3 linked regions of the Drosophila melanogaster genome follow. Changing the gene in region 2 together with the main gene of any one other region gives a genetic interaction. Each region holds a gene or a part of one and is shown on either strand. Other genes may lie near its edges. The genes, in order: grh, Chro and east.

Evidence for each region.
Region 1: of Chro (region 2) and grh, changing one suppresses a phenotype caused by changing the other (phenotypic suppression), as found in Drosophila melanogaster (one study listed by BioGRID).
Region 3: of Chro (region 2) and east, changing one suppresses a phenotype caused by changing the other (phenotypic suppression), as found in Drosophila melanogaster (one study listed by BioGRID).

Annotation. Positions count from the first base shown.
Region 1 is NT_033778.4:17,800,206-17,805,331, reverse strand, and holds the start of grh (grainy head), read right to left. Parts: upstream 3,087-5,126; 5' UTR 1,941-3,086; intron 1-1,940. UniProt on the Drosophila melanogaster protein: Transcription factor that binds a CNS-specific regulatory element of the Dopa decarboxylase (Ddc) gene. Also interacts with sequences adjacent to other transcription units, including Ultrabithorax (Ubx) and engrailed (en).
Region 2 is NT_037436.4:22,873,157-22,880,605, forward strand, and holds Chro (chromator), read right to left. Parts: upstream 5,829-7,449; 5' UTR 5,478-5,828; intron 5,070-5,477; exon of another isoform or gene 4,863-5,069; 5' UTR 4,839-4,862; coding exon 4,781-4,838; intron 4,720-4,780; coding exon 4,294-4,719; intron 4,233-4,293; coding exon 3,301-4,232; intron 3,235-3,300; coding exon 1,968-3,234; intron 1,544-1,967; coding exon 1,446-1,543; 3' UTR 546-1,445; downstream 1-545. Other genes in the region: CG11109 (uncharacterized protein), read left to right, coding at 1-532; Ssl1 (suppressor of stem-loop mutation), read left to right, coding at 6,210-6,274, 6,328-6,669, 6,722-7,449.
Region 3 is NC_004354.4:2,010,740-2,015,753, forward strand, and holds the start of east (enhanced adult sensory threshold), read left to right. Parts: upstream 1-1,903; 5' UTR 1,904-1,918; intron 1,919-2,381; exon of another isoform or gene 2,382-3,046; intron 3,047-3,602; 5' UTR 3,603-3,782; coding exon 3,783-5,014.

The sequences.
Region 1 (5,126 bases), on a different chromosome or scaffold from region 2:
AACCACGATCACCATTCCCCCCGATACCACCGATTTCAGATACACAGTGAATACCGAAAGCAATTCCATTTCAAATCCCATTAAGATTTGACATAATTTGAAATTTGGATTTTACGTATCTTTACCTTACTTCGCGTGAATGTAGGGGGGGGATGGAGAGGGGTAGATGGGAGAGGTGGAGAAAAGACAAGAGAAGAAATGCGCAGCGTAACCCTAAGACATCAACGGTCAGAGTTGTTGGGCATCAATAACCAATGACTGAGACTGGAGAGTTGGTAGATGGTACACGGCAAGAAATGCCATGTCGATTCAAAACTTTGAGTTATATTATTAATCTGATGATATAGAAACTCATTGAAACGATTTTATTTTAGCTTTTGACTTCTTAGCCTCTTTAAGAATAATTATATGCATAAATAAATCCTCATAATATCACCATCAATGCATCCCCTTTTCTCTCCGTGTATTTGGGAATGTTCAGGGAAATAAAGGCGTGCATGGATGGGGCAGGGGTGGCGAGCGCGAAGGGGAACGGGAACGGCTGCAAGACGGAGTCAAGAAGTCCCGAAGAAACGAAGAAAGGCTAAAGAAAAGAAAAACAATAAACGTTAACACGAACACGAAAATAAAATAACTCTCTCACGAAGTTCCCCCTTTTTTTTGTGTGTGGGTTACATGTGCCTGTTTCGCTGTGTGCGTGTGTATCTCACGGCTGAATGTATCTGTGTGTCTGGCGGTGTGAGTGCTGCGTAGATGTTCATTTTACTGTACCATAATCGCAGCCCCAAATTGATCACCATCATCAAGAAGGGAAAAAATCAAAAAAAAAAAAAAAAGAAAGAAAATAAAAATCATAATAAAAAGAAGCTGAGAACATAAGAGGCAAAAGGCAGCACAAAAGTCCAGGGGAAAACGTAATCACAAACACTGGGCAACATCATCGATTTTCGAACAAGAAGGCTGCGCAGTAGACGTCGACGCAGAGGCAGAGGCCGAGACCGAGACAGAGGCGTCTTGATCCCTTCTCGCTACCGCTCTTTATGGCCAACTCTCCCGCTCTAGCAAGGTATTGTTGGGAGCACAACGGCAATATGACAGCAATACCAATACCTGTGCGACTTACCTGCCGCTGCCGCTGCGCAGCGGCCACTTCGAAATACGAAATACAAAATAAAACCAAACAAAGAGGAATGTGTGCGCGAAAGATACCACCAACAACACAACGGCAACAGCAACAGCAACAATGACAACAACAACAACAACAACACGAGTTGAGGCTGGGACCAAGAGACTTAGGCTACGTCTGCACAACATACAGGGTGTCCACTGTGAACGAAGGCTTTCAAAAGCAACACTGGCCAGCAGGGTAATGAAATCGTTTAGTTTCAATACATTTGAAATCATTTAAAATGCCTAGCCGTATAGATATAATAAAACTTATTAAAAAAACATGCAGAATGCATTTTAATTTAAAACCGCACGAACTAAATGGATTTTATGCCTACATCTCCAGCAAAATTGTTTAAAAATATTTCTATGAGATTGTCGTTGTCAAATAATATCGAAATAATATCCAATTACCATTTTTCTATTAACTCCATCGAATCAACTTGACGTACTATGTATAAATCTAGCTAAAATATATCTTATAGTTTGGTAATACCATATGTTTTTTAAAAATATCAAGTTTTGAAAAATATTTATTTTTGAAAAGTTTCTACACCCTAGTAGTGCCCAAAAAATGCCCGCTTTTATTGCTCTCTTTATTGGGAATACCAGCTATTGTGATGGAATCTCCCGAAAAAAGGGATCTATAAGCCGAAAACCAAATGGTCAATAGGGTGCTATATTTCTGACGGTGTAATCCCTCCATGAACCGACCAGGGCTACATAGCCTGATGCGTTTATAATTACTTCTTGGTAGGCTAAGTACTACTCACTTTTGGGCCGGGGTGCCTTGAGCTCTTGGGATCAGGATGCGGATTTTGGCACTTGGTGAGGATCTATGGCACTCGAGCACGCTGGAGCAGTGGATCGGATCGGTGGAACTGGAGCTGGATCGTGGACTGGAGTCTGTTTGCTTTGGGAGTCTGCAACCTGGGAGTCTGGAGCTGTAACTGAAATGTGGCTGCTGCTGCTGCTGCTGCTGTTGTTGGTTGCTCCGTTGTTGCTGTTTTGCTGGTGGGTGCACCTTTCGCCACTCTTTGTGCTGTTTTAGTTGTTGTTGTTGTTGTTGTGCGTCTGGGGGCTTTTAGCCTGGCTCTCTGGGCCTTTGGCTTACACAATGCTCTCGGCTGGCTGCTTTTGGCCGCTTCTAATGTGCCACTCTTTGTGGTATGTGGAGCTGTTGTTGTTTCGTTCGCTTGGTGCTGCCTTTGTTGCTGGCGGTTTGTGCATTTTGGCCTAACATTTGATGTTGCTGCTGCTCATATTGCTGCTATTGCTACTGGAGGGCGCAAAAGTTGAGGGGGCGGGTCGGTTCGGGGGCGTTGCGCCTGGCATTTGCGTTTTCAAGCCAATTTGTTGTTGTTTTTTCTATTTTTCTATGAGTATTTTCACTATTTTTTACGCGCTTTCCGCACTAGCATTTGTTATTGCTGCTGGTTCTGGCTGCTGTTATTAATCACTATTTTTATTTTGCATTTTATTATTCGCTGCTCAGCTTTGATGGCGTCTCATTCCAGCTCGCAAGCGCACACACACAGGCACACTTTAAGCTCACGCTCTCCGAGAGACATGCACACGTACACACACACAGATACTCTCGCACTCAACACACACGCACACACACACGAGGTTTTTTTTCGCTTTTTCAGCCTTCTCTTCCTCTTCGTGGCTGAAATTCGTGTGTGTGTTTTATTTAATTTCGAAAAAGTTTAAGCGCGACTTTTTGCTGTTTGTTTGGCGTAGAAACTTTTGGATTTTTCGCAAATATCGCGACACACACGCGCACTCACAGGTAATTTCGATTTGAAACGATTAGTCGGATTTGAAACTATATATTTTCGGTGTATTAACTTGCTGACTTTCCGTGTGCGCGGAAAACTTGTCGTCGCTGTCGCTGGATCTCGGCTCTTGGCTATAATGCCCAAAGAGTCAATTGGAGATTGTTCAACTGTTGAATGTGCTGCTGCCGCCGCTGCTGCCACCTCTGCCGACGTCGTCGTGCAGTTGTATTGGTGGCAAGGTGATGTCTGTGTTCGCGGCGCTGGTTAGAGAGCGCTCGATTATTATTGCTTTTTATGGTTTCATCTCTTTCGTAACTGATATTGAGCGAACGCGGCAGCGACGCCGGCAGCGCAGCGCCACTCAAATTCATTCGAATCGATGATGTTGTCTCTACACTCCCAAACACCCATACAAGTGCGATCTAAAACACAGGTAGCCCAGTGCTTCCATCTGTGTGTGTGTGTGTGGGTGCACCTGCAGAGGCCGAAACGCAGGCAGGTACAAAAGACTTAGGCAACGAACCTTCCACTTCAGCATGCACTTGCGGCGAAGGGAGATGGCAGATCAAAAGAGAGAGAAAGAGAGAGGGCAAGAAAGAGAGCCACAGCCACCCTCGACACGGGCAAACCGCTCCTGCATTTCGTATCTCCCGGACTTTGCGTTTATTTCTGTGCTGCGGCATTGCATTCATCGTCGAAAATTCGAATTCGCTGCTCGGTTCACTCTACTTCGCTTTCGAACTCGCCGCCTTGTTGTTCTGTTTTTGTTGTTGTCATTCGGCTTGTAAACCGCGTGAAAGTGGTAGTGCAATCGGGCATCAGGTAGAGAAACAAACACACACAACAGCGGGAGAGAGGTGGAGAGAAAGACCGAGATCACCGCATGCCAAGAGAAGTCCCTGCAAAAAATTACTGGATACAAAGATGCACTTTCTGAAAACTATTCCGCGGTTAAGCAGTTCAGATAATTAATATAGTTCAACTCTTAATTCTTATATAAAATACTGTTGATAGGTTTCCTATACACAAGCTAAATCACTAAAGCACTTTGTATGATTAAATATTAAAAAAATTTACGAATATTGCATATATTTAACATAAAATCAAATAAATCAACTCGAATTGTTAGCACTGTGAAATGAAGGATTTTTTTCTCCGTGTGGCATACATACGTAAAATAGTTGTGCATGTACCACAATCGAAAACGCCAAGTAGCTGCCGTGCCGCCGCAGCCTCCGCCGCTCTCTGTTCCGTTCTCTCGGCCTGGCTTTCGGTTAACCTCAGTCGGGCTCCTACAACCTCACCTCGCCAGGCGGCGCGGCAATCAGCGCTGTGTCGTGTGGATCGGCGGACGAACCGACGGACGGTGCTTGTGTGCTTTCCGCCATGGTAAAGGGTGACTCCCCCCAGCTTCCTTTCCTCCGAGCTCCCCCCACTTGGATCCCGCACTCACCAATTCACGTTGTTTGTCTTTTGGCGCTGCGCACGCGTGGAACTGTGGTTAAGAACGTAAAGCAGCGGGCGCTAGTTTTCACTGAAGCACTAGACATTCTACGCAATGTAAAATATTTATGTAAAATGCAATTTTACAGTAAATATTTAAAAAGTACATTCATGATGATAAGTAACAATAAATAAAGATAAAATTAAAAATATTTAATGTAATATGTTGAGTTCCAGGAGCCCAATTACAAACACTTGCATCTCAAGTTTGAATTTGAGTTTTATTTTCATTTCGGTTTATTGTTGCAATATATTAAATGTTTAAAACTAAATTTAGGCTTAGTTTAATCCATTTTTTATTTATTGATTTTGCCGTTTTTGCGTTTACACATTAGTTGATTTTCATGTAATAAATTTAATTTGTGGTTTTTAACTGGTCGAAACATTTCACTAATGCTTGATTACGTTTTTGTACATATACCGCTAAGTAGTATATATATGTATGCATGTATCGGTGTGTGTGTTTTGTGTGCGAGTGTGGCGGTGTATATAACTAAAAACAAACAACAATCGCATTAAATGTACTTATATATTTGGTTTTTTTCTTCAAAAAGTCTTATATCTGTCCGTTATGCAAAAGTAAGAAACCGAAGAGAAGCATTCACAAACAAACATTCCATCCCTCCGCGCGTCCCTTTGTCCAGGACATTTTTGTCTAACCTGATTGCCTAAAAT
Region 2 (7,449 bases):
TCGCGTCCGCAGCATGCTGCCCAAATTGGGACACTACAAAAGCATAACGGCGCATGTTTTTAACTCCACCGAGGCAGTGGCAGCGGACGCTCCATCTGCACCCGTGGGAGAATTCACTGGGCCTCCGTTTCCATGTGAAAGCTTTGACCGAATCTTGCTCGATGCACCCTGCAGTGGGCTGGGCAACCGGCCACAGTTGTCCTGCAGCATTAAACAGGTTAAGGTCTTGTCCTCATATCCCCATATTCAGCGCCGGCTATTTGAACAGGCAGTGCAGCTCGTTCGTCCTGGCGGCATCCTTGTATATAGCACGTGCACCGTCACCGAGGATGAGTGCGAATGTCTTGTGGCCTGGGCACTAAGAAAATTTGTCGAGCTGCGGCTAACAGATGCCACTCCCCGGTGGGGCGGTCCCGGACTTCCGCTTCCCGGTTTCGAGGCATGTAAATCTCGTCTGTTGCAGCGCTTCGGTCCAAGCGGAGCAAATGCGGACACTGTGGGCTTTTTTATTGCGAAGTTTCAGAAAATATAAATAAATTCAACTTCACTGAAATTTTTTGTTTATTGGGCTCGATAATTTAAACATTCGTTTTGATTTGCAAAAGTAAGCCGGCTTATGAGTGATATAAGTGAGACCTACGCTAGTGGTATTTGATCAAGAAAATTTCAACCCTACGCTTAGAAAAGCATTTGAAAAATGCAGTCTGATAACATTTAGGCTTTGCTCTCCCATAGCTGCTTGTGCTATCTTAATGGAGATACATAATGTTATCTTTTTGTTTTCGAGTTAAAAAGAACTTAAATAATTTACAATTCATAACTAATGTAATTTTACTTAAATCTAAGTCCGTCATTGTTATTTAACGATTCTTGTTAAAAGCAAAATTATGCATTTCGGGAACTTTAAAACTTTCTACGACAAAGATTTACTTAATGATTTTACGAGTTGTAAGTTAAAAGGAAGTCAAAAATATTACCAATCATTGATGGGACCCCGATAAATGCATGTTTTGTTTGTGCTTGAGGAAATTACTAAATATGATGAGAACATCGATGAAGGCTTTTAACGCTGGCGGAATCTCTCACCTTGACTGCAGTGATAATTATCGTAAAACTGCTTGACTCCCACGATAAAATAATGTTTTAAATAAGGTATTCGCATAATTTATTTCATCGTTCGATGCCTTTTGTTTCCCCGGCGCAGCATTATTGTTTCGCTAGACGTTTAGCGTTCTGGTTCCCGGTATGCTTTCGCCAGAATAATATTCACTACTCGCCAAACACGGCTCTCAGTCAGTGCTGGTGCATACTTATGGCCAAGAGAATGGATTGGCTAGGACCAAACAAAAGTGGAAATGGGAAGAACCCACCAACGTCAGGTTCTTTCAATATAATAGTCTTAAGAACTAAGCCTAATTATATGTACGGATACTATTAACATGATTTTACGTTGGGATGTTGAGCGTCTTAAACTGATCTTCGTGCATCTCAGTCATCATGAAGGTTCCATCCTGAAGCAACAAAACAACGCGACGTGTACCTCCTGAAAAAAAACAGAAAATGAACAAGTAGTTAGTTTTTGAAGAATAATCCCCTAAATATTGCTATAATTTTCTATGCAATTCCGATTTATAAAAAAGCTACCCAATGTATAGTTCTGCAAGAAGAAAAGCAAGAAAATGCTATCGACTATCATCTGATAGTATCTACCCCTCGAGAAACAAACGCACTTGCGCTGCGAATATATATCCCTGCTTAATCATTCAGTTCTCTACGTTCATACAGACAGACAACGCTAGATCTGCTCGCTTATTGATCCTGATTATAAATAGAAAATATATACTTTATATCTTCAAAAAGCTTCCTTCTACCTGTTATGAACTTTTATTATTACTCTACGAGTAACGGATATAAAAGCCAACACAAGAAGCTGGCCTTGTCAAATTTTTATGAAAAACACGACTTACCCGGTGAAGGCAAATCTGCCTGTACCACCTCCGCTGGTATCTGGGATTCCGTGCCATCGCTGTCTGACGTCGTGATATGGATCTGAGCTGTGGGTGGCGTTCCCGTTCCAGCGGCAGAAGCCTCCGCTTGTTGAAGCACCTGGTGTTGCGCCAACTCCTCTTCTGTCATGGACACGAGAATCTGTTCACCGTCCGCCGTAGCTGCTCCGACGCCGTGAGACTCGACCTGTTCACCGGCTTGAACGGCTTCGGCCACTGCGTGGTCCAGAGAAAGAACATCCTGGTCTTCTCCCTCTGCGGCTGCCACGTACGCAAATTGCTGTTCTCCATCCGGGCCCTGCGTAACGAGAATAGTTTGTCCCTCCGCATTTTTTCCCGCTACCTGGTAAACAGTGCCGTCCTCTCCTCGCACCAGCAAGGCCGAGCCGTCCTCGTTGGTAAGAACTTGTTGATCGCTGCCCAGAAGGGCCTGTGCCGCGGCTTCTAGCTGCTCTCGTTGTTGCTCCTGCTGTTGCTCCTGCTCCATTTGCAGTTGGGTCTCCTCCTGACCAATAAGCTTGCCGGTGATTGGACACAACTGAGCTTGGTGCTGATGAATCTCCTCCTCCAATTCCATTTGCAGGGGCGTTGGCTGGATTGTTGACTTGGAAACTATTCTTTGCCGGGCAGGAGTCGCTTTCTGTTGTTGACTGGACTGCTGCTGAGACAGAGCCTGTCGCTGGCGTGCCTGGGCAGAGCGCTGAGCCAACAACTCTTCCCGGGTCACTACTTTACGCGTAACTTTCAAGTCCCCTGACTTTGACAGCTGTAAAATCTTTTGCTCTGGCGTAACTGCCTTGGCACCCTGAGGAGTTTGTACTTGTTGGCGATGTTGCGGAGTTCCGACACCGGCTCGTGCAAGGACTCGACCACCCGGGTGAGCCCGGCCGGGCGCCTGCTGCAAGTTTTGACGCACATGGGATGCACCACCCACTCCAGGACGGCGATGAAGTGCTGCTGTTACAGGGCCGTGGCCGGGAGTTCGAAGCGCGTGTTGTCGCTGGCCCACAGTGATGGGCGAGTTAGCGCCCGAATGCGCAGGACGAGCCATTGGCAAACGCTTGGCTATGCCTGCGGCGGGCGGCGCAGCGATCACTTTTTGCGGAACGGGTGCAGGCGAAACGGGTGCCGGTGCCTCGGAATTTTCAACCCGAAAAACGCCTCTTGTGCTGCTGCCCACCTCGGAGCGCGAAAGATACCGCACGGGACACTCTGGTTTCTCCTTTTTCTGCAACGAATTAAGATCATTGTTATTAATTGGCTGCTGCGTAGAAATAGCATTATTTCGTAATACCAAATTTATTGTGTTTGGCATCTCGGGCTTGCGAAACATGCCGGAGCTCGTGCTATCCTCAGTATAGATGATTTCACCCATTTTTTGTTCCGTTAGGGGCGATACCACGGTGGAATTGCCGTTAATTTTAGTCTGCTGCTTTTCCGTGGACTGAATCCGTGGCTTGTTCAACTGCACGGAGCTTCCTCCGTTTTTTAGACGCTTCACGGTATGGGACGGAAGATCCTCTTCAAGGTCCTCTAGGTCCATCGAGTCGTTTAACCCGCTCCCCTCTAAACTTGAGTCTGTATTGTTCAGCTTTCGCTTGATCGCTCCAGAAGATGGTGGCCATTCCTGTTCCGTGGAGGATTCATCTTCGTTTGCCGAGGAAGGCGAGGAGGATCCATCTCCGGCAACGGTTTCATTGACCCACTGCTTAAAGGCATCCATAGCCTTGGTCTTGGAAGTTCGAGATGGCCGAGAAGACGGCGATACCTGCGACGACGCCGGAAGTGGGCTGTGTGGGGCGGCAGTATCTGACTTTGCGTTTGTCCCTGATGACTGCATGCGCTTCAGAGCATCCAGACCCTTCTCCCTAGTAAGTTTTTGGCGTGCCAATTGCTTTTCGAACATCTGCAAAAAGTATGGCACACGCTCGAGATTGGCCATCACCTCCCAGGTGTTTTCATGATGCGAGCGATCAACCCACTTAACCAAATACTCGTGGGTCTTACGGCGCGGATTGAAGCGCTTAGCGACAATCTTTTCCACTGGCTCTTCGGTGCGCTGATCTGTCTTGGAATCGATCCTAATGGCTATGCGGTTGTTCGGCTTCACGGCTCCGGCAGAGGGAACTGAGGAAGGCGTTGGTGTACTCGGCTTGGACTTGGGTCTTTCGTTTTCTGTATCCTTTAGTTGATTGGCTAACGTAGGCAGCTTACCGGTTGGTGATTCTGTTGATTTAAATATAGTTTAATAACAAGTGTGACTTTTATTTAGAATGTTTTGTATTACTTCTGGTAGGGGAGACGCTCGTGTTGTTGTTGTTGCTATTTGATGTGTTGTTATTGTTTGGATTGACCACAGTCTTTGTTATTCGCACAGGCATGTCCTGGAGTTGTCCGTGTGCAATTTTGCCGAATGACTGTATGGTCTTCCCAGCCACAATCCACGGCTCGCGGACGCTATCGTCTAGTTTTACCCAATGCTGGTACAAGGCCCACGAGCTGCCGGACGCGTCCTTGCGCGAGTGCAGCTGAGTAGCTTTCCATAGCGTAAAAGCCCAGATGGTGGGCTTGGGATCGAGCGATTCCTTCAAATTTGCATTTTCCTTTTCGCAGGCGTCCTCTTTGTGGGCCTGAAACTCTTCCACGAAGTTGTAGGCCCGGAGACATCGTCCACATACAAGAACGTCCATGTTTGCCAATTCCTCCTGTGCAGCTGCAGGGCAGAACACAAAATTAACAATAAAAATTATTTACCAATGTTTTTAGTCACTCACCTCTTATAATGTTTGCGTGTTTGCCGATTTCCGTAGGTGAAATCTCCTGTGCCAACATTATTCACGACTCCAGCGCCCAAGCCTTTGAAGAGAGCATTTAAAGTGTGACTTAAAAATAGTGCTGAATGGAGTCTTATTATTTGTTATTGCTTGGTTTTGAAATATTGGTAAACGGCGAAGAAAAAGTACAGTGCCGTGGTGTGTTTGTGCTAACTTGAACCAGGTGGCAACGCGAACGGTCGCTGTCTGCGGTGTGTGTCCGATATGGTGAGTTCAAGCATATGTACATCTGCAATGGGCAAAATGCAGCGGCGCTTAGGCAGCCGAAAAAAAACACTAAGTACATTATGAAAAGAACGAGCCTGCCGCACTGTTGTAGATATATAATATAATAAAACACAGAAAAGCACGAACTATGCGTAATGCGACTTTATTAGTTACTTAAACTTATCTGTTACAAATGCATTTGAACTTCAACACAGCTAAAAATTAAAATAAATAAAACCCTATGGTTCGATCCTATTTGTTTTCATTTAAAAAAAAGGATTACATATAGTTTAAATAATATCAAAGTTCACAATTTCATTTTGCCCGCTAAACCTTGCAGGCACTAGATATAGGCCAGGTATGATTGCAAATAAGCCTATTCCACATATCATTAAATTAAAAGATTTCTCTAGAACACTTTGGTACACACCTTCATAAACAATTTTGGATAAATATCAAACTGAATGTTGTTTCAAACGGTTATTTTAATTTAACTGACTCCCGATTTTTCAACACGAGCAGCTCCACTGCTGCTCACAGTTGTACGCGCGAACTCTGAATGCCAAAAGCGAAATTCGGCTGCACGGAAATTGTCCAGAGATGATTTGGTTCCGGCTGTGCGGACCTTAGAATGCTCTTCTGTGCTAAGCTATTTAAATCCTAATATTACTGGGAGTGTATTGCCTGTCGATAGCTTTAAACTAACTGCAGTCCAGTAAATTTTAAGATTTCGAAGGTTTTTTCGAATATAGTATATGATATAAAACGCGGGTTTCAATGCTTGCACGGTTTTAAGTGCCCAAACTTAGGGTGTAGCGCCCTTTTCAGTTCGCCCGTGTGGCGGTGCACTTAGTTAGCCAATTACGCGTCGTGGTGGGTATATTTATTGATGTGGCAACTTTGGGCGCAATAATAATAATATTGTACTTTTTTTGTTCATATTAGGTAAGAAATTCGAAATTATTTTTTATTATTTCATTTTATTATGTCATTCTTTTGTAGATATTTATTGATATAAATACTTACCCAGGGTTGCCACCCAGTGTATTGTATTTAACGTAGGCCCTGTGTGTACACACTGTTACATTAGCCGGCGCATTTTATTTAGCGTTAATTGCTTTTCTTTCTTGATTTGACTTGGTAGTGCATCAGGACTGCAAGTATGGCCGACGATGAGCAAGAGGACCAGAAGGAGTACCGCTGGGAAACGGGCTATGAAAAGACATGGTGCGATGGTGTGCGTGACAATGTAAGCCCGCACTTACTTTTAATCCTATTAGGGAGGCCATCAAGGACGACGAGGATGGGATGCTGGATGGAGCCATTGCAGAGATCATTCAGAAGGCCAAACGCCAGAGGCAGGCTCAAAAGTCCAAGCAGAACCGCCTGGGCATGATGCGCCACATGTTCGTTGTGCTCGATTGCTCTGAGTCCATGAGCGTGCCTGATTTGAAACCCACACGACTGCGGTGCACCGTCAAGCTGCTGGAGCTGTTTATCGAGGAGTTCTTCGATCAGAACCCCATCAGCCAATTAGGACTCATAGCGCTAAAAGCTAAGCGAGCGGAGAAGGTGACCGAACTTACCGGCACTTCGCGCGTGCACCTCAAAGCGCTAGAGAGGTAAGAACCGAATCAAACCAGCGTTCTCCATTTATATCCCCTTTTTGTTTAGCTTGGCTAACGTGTCCTTGACCAGCGAGCCTTCGCTGCAAAATGGCCTAGATCTGGCCCTAAAATCGCTTAAGGTGGTGCCGTCGCACGCCTCCCGAGAGATCGTCATTATCATGGGCTCGCTCACCACATGTGATCCTGTCGATATTAACCTCACCATCGACGAGTTAAAAAAGGAGGGCATACGCTGCTCGGTTATTTCCCTGTCCGCTGAGATTCACGTGGCCCGCTACCTCACTCAGCAAACAATGGGCACCTTCGGGGCTGTTTTGGATGATGCACATTTTCGGGATCAACTCATGTCTCAGGTAGATCCACCGCCCGCCGCTAAGACTCAGCACAACTCGCTTATTCGCATGGGCTTCCCGCACACAAAGAATGAAGTTGAGGGCAAGGACGCGCCATTGTCCATGTGCATGTGCCACATAGAGAACTTGGAGGAGCCCAGTGAACTGACCACTACTGGCCACCACTGCCCGCAATGCAACAGCAAGTACTGCGAGCTGCCCGTGGAGTGCCAGTCTTGCGGCCTCACCCTGGTCTCCGCGCCGCACTTGGCGCGTTCCTACCACCACCTTTTCCCGGTGCCAAATTTTGAGGAACTGCCGTTTGAGGCGATGCCTGCTTCGTCATCCGACCTCACCAGCGATGTCAGGGAATGTTACGGCTGCGCCAAAGCTCTTGGGCAAGGCGTTGACAAGGTCGCCGATAAAGTCGTCTTCAGATGCG
Region 3 (5,014 bases), on a different chromosome or scaffold from region 2:
TTTTCCAATTGCCTTTGGCGCAGCCACACACAACACAAAACACACAAAGCGTGTGTGTGCGGCTGCCAATGTAGATGTACATGTTGATGTGCGCCCGCAAAGAAAAATCGTTTTCTAGGTGGAATTATTCAAGTGGGCGTCGTGCGAAAGTATTTCCGTGGCGAAAACTAGTTTAAGAATCGCGAGATTCACCCAATCTTAGTCAGGATCAAAGGAGAAAGGTAAGAAAGACGCCAGGGCGGGCAAGCAACTAGGATAATCGATCGCAATGGCCTTGGTTACTAGTTGGTGATGTCAGTGGCGACGGAAATGGAAGTCCTGGCCACGCACTTGACCCAGTTCGGGAAAATCGCTTTTCTAGTCCCTCCAGAAGCGGCCGAATGGAAAGCGGGCGGAAGAACCATGCATAAAGCTATTGATTTTCCCTCATTTCCCAAGCAATTAAGGCCTTTGCCTTTAACCCAGTTACACGTACATATATCCATATGTACATAAGAACATACAAATGTCGGCATCTACATAATCGCAATGGTCCTTGGGCGGGTGCGAAAGTGGATAAACGGGAGAACCCTTGAGAGCGGGTGGGAGTTGGGCTAAGGACGTCGCCTGACACTTGCAGGATTCAGATTCAGATCTAGCCGCCTGCCGCCCTCCCTTTCGGGAAATGGAAGCTTGTGAAACGTGCAACAACCTACGCCACAGCATCACAAGTTGAGGAAAACCAGGGAAAATCCGCAGGAAAACCGAAAAGGAGTAGGGCAAGTCTGGCGCTCGGTGGTGGCGCTCGCTTCTTCCCAATTACCACCCCCGAATCAACGACATGTTATTTTGCCGAGTCCTTTTTTTGCTTTTTACCGACGCAGAAAAAAAGACGCATCAGCAGCACCAACAACAACAGCCGACGTCGCGGCGAAAAGAGCGAACAAACATTTGCCAAAAACAACACGTACACCGGACGAAAACGCACGTCGACCTGTTCACTTCCCTACAAAAACAGAGTTGCGAAACATCCCAAGTGGTAACGTCAATCCTTTTGTTGCAATGAGTGCAAAACAATTTTTAAAACAATTGTATTTATTGACTATTTTACTTATTTTTATTATTATTTTTTAAGTGCATTGTCAGTTGGAATTTCAATGTTCCCATTATTTATAGAAGTTGACCCAGCAAATGTTTCAATTTACGCGCGATTATGCTTTTTAATATGACTGACATAAATCAAATCTGTATAAATGCAAGATATGAAAATTATTAATTTCAAAAGCATTCCCAAGGGAAAAGTAAAAAATTAAAAGTTTAATTAGTCAGGACAAAGCTATCCGAATGCAACTTCTTTGAACTCATGATGGCGACGAGGAATACATCCTGGCGACGGCAGGACAGGCAGCCCTCCCCGCCGCCCACAAGCAGGGTTGCATGCACGCCAAGCCAAATCCGAAAGCAAATCGGGGCCGATAGTGCATAATATCGTGCGGCGAAGAGCGAGACGAAGAGTCGTGGCGAGTTGTGGCGAATTGAGGTTTTGCGCCGTCGGGCCGAGCGTCGCTCTTTTGCTCTTCATCTTGGCTCGTTATTTCGCTTCGCACCGTGTTTGCGTTCACAACTCTTGTTCGGGTTCTGCATTTTATTTTATTATTATTTTTTTTTGTTTGTTGCTATTCGGTGAGTACCTGCGGAAAAGTAAGGCAAGGCGATGAATGAAAGGAACAAAAAGGAAAAGAAAACGAAATGAAAAGCCATGCAAAGGGTTTTCCTCGTCAACTCGCTTGTTTGTGTTTTGTGTGCAAAGTGCCTGGTGAAAAGATGTACTCGCCGTACTGCCAAATGAGAAAACGGCAGGCGTTCGTTTATTAATGCTCGCGTTCGTATTTTTGCGAAAACCTGGTGAAAAAGAAATTTTCTGTGCTCGCTACTGCCTGTGAGTGTGTGTGAGTGAGTGTGCGTGTGCCTGTGCGCTGCTCGTGTCTGTGTGCGCTCGCTTTGGGTGTGCATGTACGTCACTGCCACCCATTTTTGTGTGCTGTTCTGGTTCTTCGTCCCGTCTCGTGTCGCCTCGCTGTTCCCTCCTAGCCGTCCCTTGCGGTTTTTGCTGCAACTCTGCGGAAACTCTCCACGAATTCCCCCCTTGCCTAGCGCACGAAGAGGATGGCAGCTCTGCCAATTCTTTGGTAACTTTTCCGCCTAGTGAAAACTGCTGCCAGTTTCCGTTCGCTTCAGGTACTCCGCTTCTTCCGTTCCGTCCAACTGACTGTCTGCCCGTGTTTACAATCGCGGCGTTTTTGCACACTGTGCCGTGCGTCTGTGTGAGTTCTACTTGGTGGTATATCTGTGTACATGTACACACATCGATACGACAGCGGAGTCTTCATTTTGTTATTGCCATTCTCTTTCACTTCCTTTTCGCCTGCTTTGTTGCTGTCGTCGCTGTGACAGTTATGCTAGTTGTTAGTGTGCGTGTCGTGTCCGTGTGAGTTTTCCGCGTTTCTTCGCCGGTGCGAACTGCAATCTGAAATCTCGCACTCGCGCTAAAATGGCGCATGTCAGAATCGAAATTAAAATCATAAGCCAAAAGCTACTCTGATCGTCAGGCCACGAAGAAGCGGAGAAAGAAGATGAAGAAGGAGGACCAGCAAGCGGCAACAGCAGAAGCAGGATACCTAACCAATTTGAGGATTATTCAACATCTCATCGACTCTTCAGCTTCTCTTCTCAGCCTTGCCCAGTTGCTGCTTCTTCCGACTCTGCTCTTCTCTCCTCTACACGCCACTCGTCTCCTCTGCTCTTTTCTCGTTTTGCTTTCCTCGCATTCTCGCAGCTCCCAGCTGCTGCCAAAACTTGTTTTCAGCAGCGATAGAAAAGAGGGGCAATGGAGCTGGACAGTGGCTGGCAAGGAGAAGAGGGGGTTTCTGGAAACCGCAAAAGCATGTTTAATGTTCTAGTCGCGTTACTGGACTCCGAATCGGAATCGAGTGAACGGATCGGATCGGATTGTCCTGGGGATTGAATGAGCTAAAAGGGGCTAAGAGAGCGGCTTACTTTCGGCCAGGTGAAAGCCAGGGCCATAAAACTAAGTTTACCACATTACCGCTTAGGATTTCGCTTCGGCTCAGATTAGCTGTTATACTGAAGTTTGGAGATTAAAGTCCTTTGATAATATTCTTTTAGTTGGATTGAATCGACTTAATAGTTGATTAGTTTGGAGAAAACACAACAATGTTGAGTTACAACTAAAAATTTGATTTATCTAAGTGAGCATATACATTATGACTTAGCAATCCAAAGGCTTATCAAAGTTTTCAATGCTTATCAGGGATTTTACAGGTGGGATGGGATTTCCATTCACTTAACAAGTTTGAATTTAGAAGATAACGAAAATATTTTGGTCTTCCAGAACGATTTTATAAGAGCATTATAATTAAAGTTGAAAGGATGCAAAAGAAACCCAGAATGGCGTTTCTTTTTGTTTTTTAAATCTAGTGCAGAATTTAACCTACTTCTGGGTTGAGCTGTTTTTGCTTTGCCAATTAGAACGTTATTCCCACATGGCGGATTAGTAATACGACTTAGTAACTTTCTTTTTCCCCTTCTTCGCGTCCTTGCAGATATTCTTCACATCACAGTCAACCAATGGGACCAAATCACTGCGACTCGAACTGGACACAATCAGCATCGGATCGCAGGGAACAACAGGAGGTGGTGGAGCAGCAGCGCCAGAAGGCGTCGGGGGAGCGGCCATCATAGGAGCAGCAACGTCGGCAGCAGCTGCCCAGGGCCCCTCGAGAATGTCTAGCCGGAAGGTGCCAGGAGGCTCTGGAGGAGCTGACGAATCCACAGCAGCAGCTGCCCCCCTGGATGATAATGCCAATGCCAGTGTGGAGATTCCAGACAGCAGCGAGGAGCCAGCAATGGGCGTCGGCGAAGAGATGTCTATCATAAGCAAAACACGCACCTCAACTTTGTCAGTGGAGCCCGCTAAGGAGCCAACAGTAACAGCAGAGCTGGAAGGCGAAAAAGAGCTGGAATCGAATCCAGTCTCCAAAACTCCTAGGTCCACGCCTACGCCAACCCTTACGCCAGCCGTCACGCCTACCGCCAGTGATGGAGTGGCGGCCAAGAGCGTGAGGGTTACCCGGCACTCGTCGCCACTGCTTCTGATCATCTCGCCCACGACAAGTAGACGTGAGGTCGGCGACGGAGAGCTAGACACCGAGGAACCAACGGGATCGGGTGGCCAAAGAAAGAGCTCCGTGGAGCGATCTTTGGCGCCCGTTATACGCGGACGAAAGTCCATCAAGGATCTGAAAGAAGCCAAAGAAGTCAAGTCCGAGGAGCCGCCTGCCGCAGCATCAGAGTCACGAGCTGCAAGTGGAGTGACGCCTGGCCAGGTCAAGGAACAGCATGTCGCGGATGGCAACGAAATGGAATCCTTGCCAATCACAGACAAGAAAGACCACAAAGACACAAAAGACAAGGGAGATGAGCGGGAAACCGATCAGGAGGAAGAGAAGGAAAAATCAGCTGATACAGAAATAATTGCAGATACAGAAAAAACTTCGGAGAAACAAAAGTATACAGAGAAGGACAAAGCTGCCGATAAAGATGGAGGAAAAGAAAAAGATATTGATGCAAATAAGGATATAGATAAGGAGAAGGAAAAGGTCAAGGAAGTACTTCCGCCAGTGGTGCCTATAGCACCAGTGACACCCACTTGTAACCGTGTCACACGTAAATCACATGCCCAGGAGCAGGCGATTAACACGCGGGTCACTCGCAATCGTCGCCAGTCCTCTACAGTTGGAGCCAACTCCACCGCGTCTTTGGTAGCTGCATCCTCCTCAGTAACAGAGCAACCCCCTCCATCTCGCGGTCGACGGAAGAAGCCAGTGGTGGTGGCTCCTCCCTTGGAGCCTGCGGTAAAACGGAAGCGATCGCAAGATGTTGAAGCCGACTCAGACGCCAACAACAGCACGAAATACAGCAAGGTGGAAGTGGTAAAGTCTGAGGAAGCTGAGGC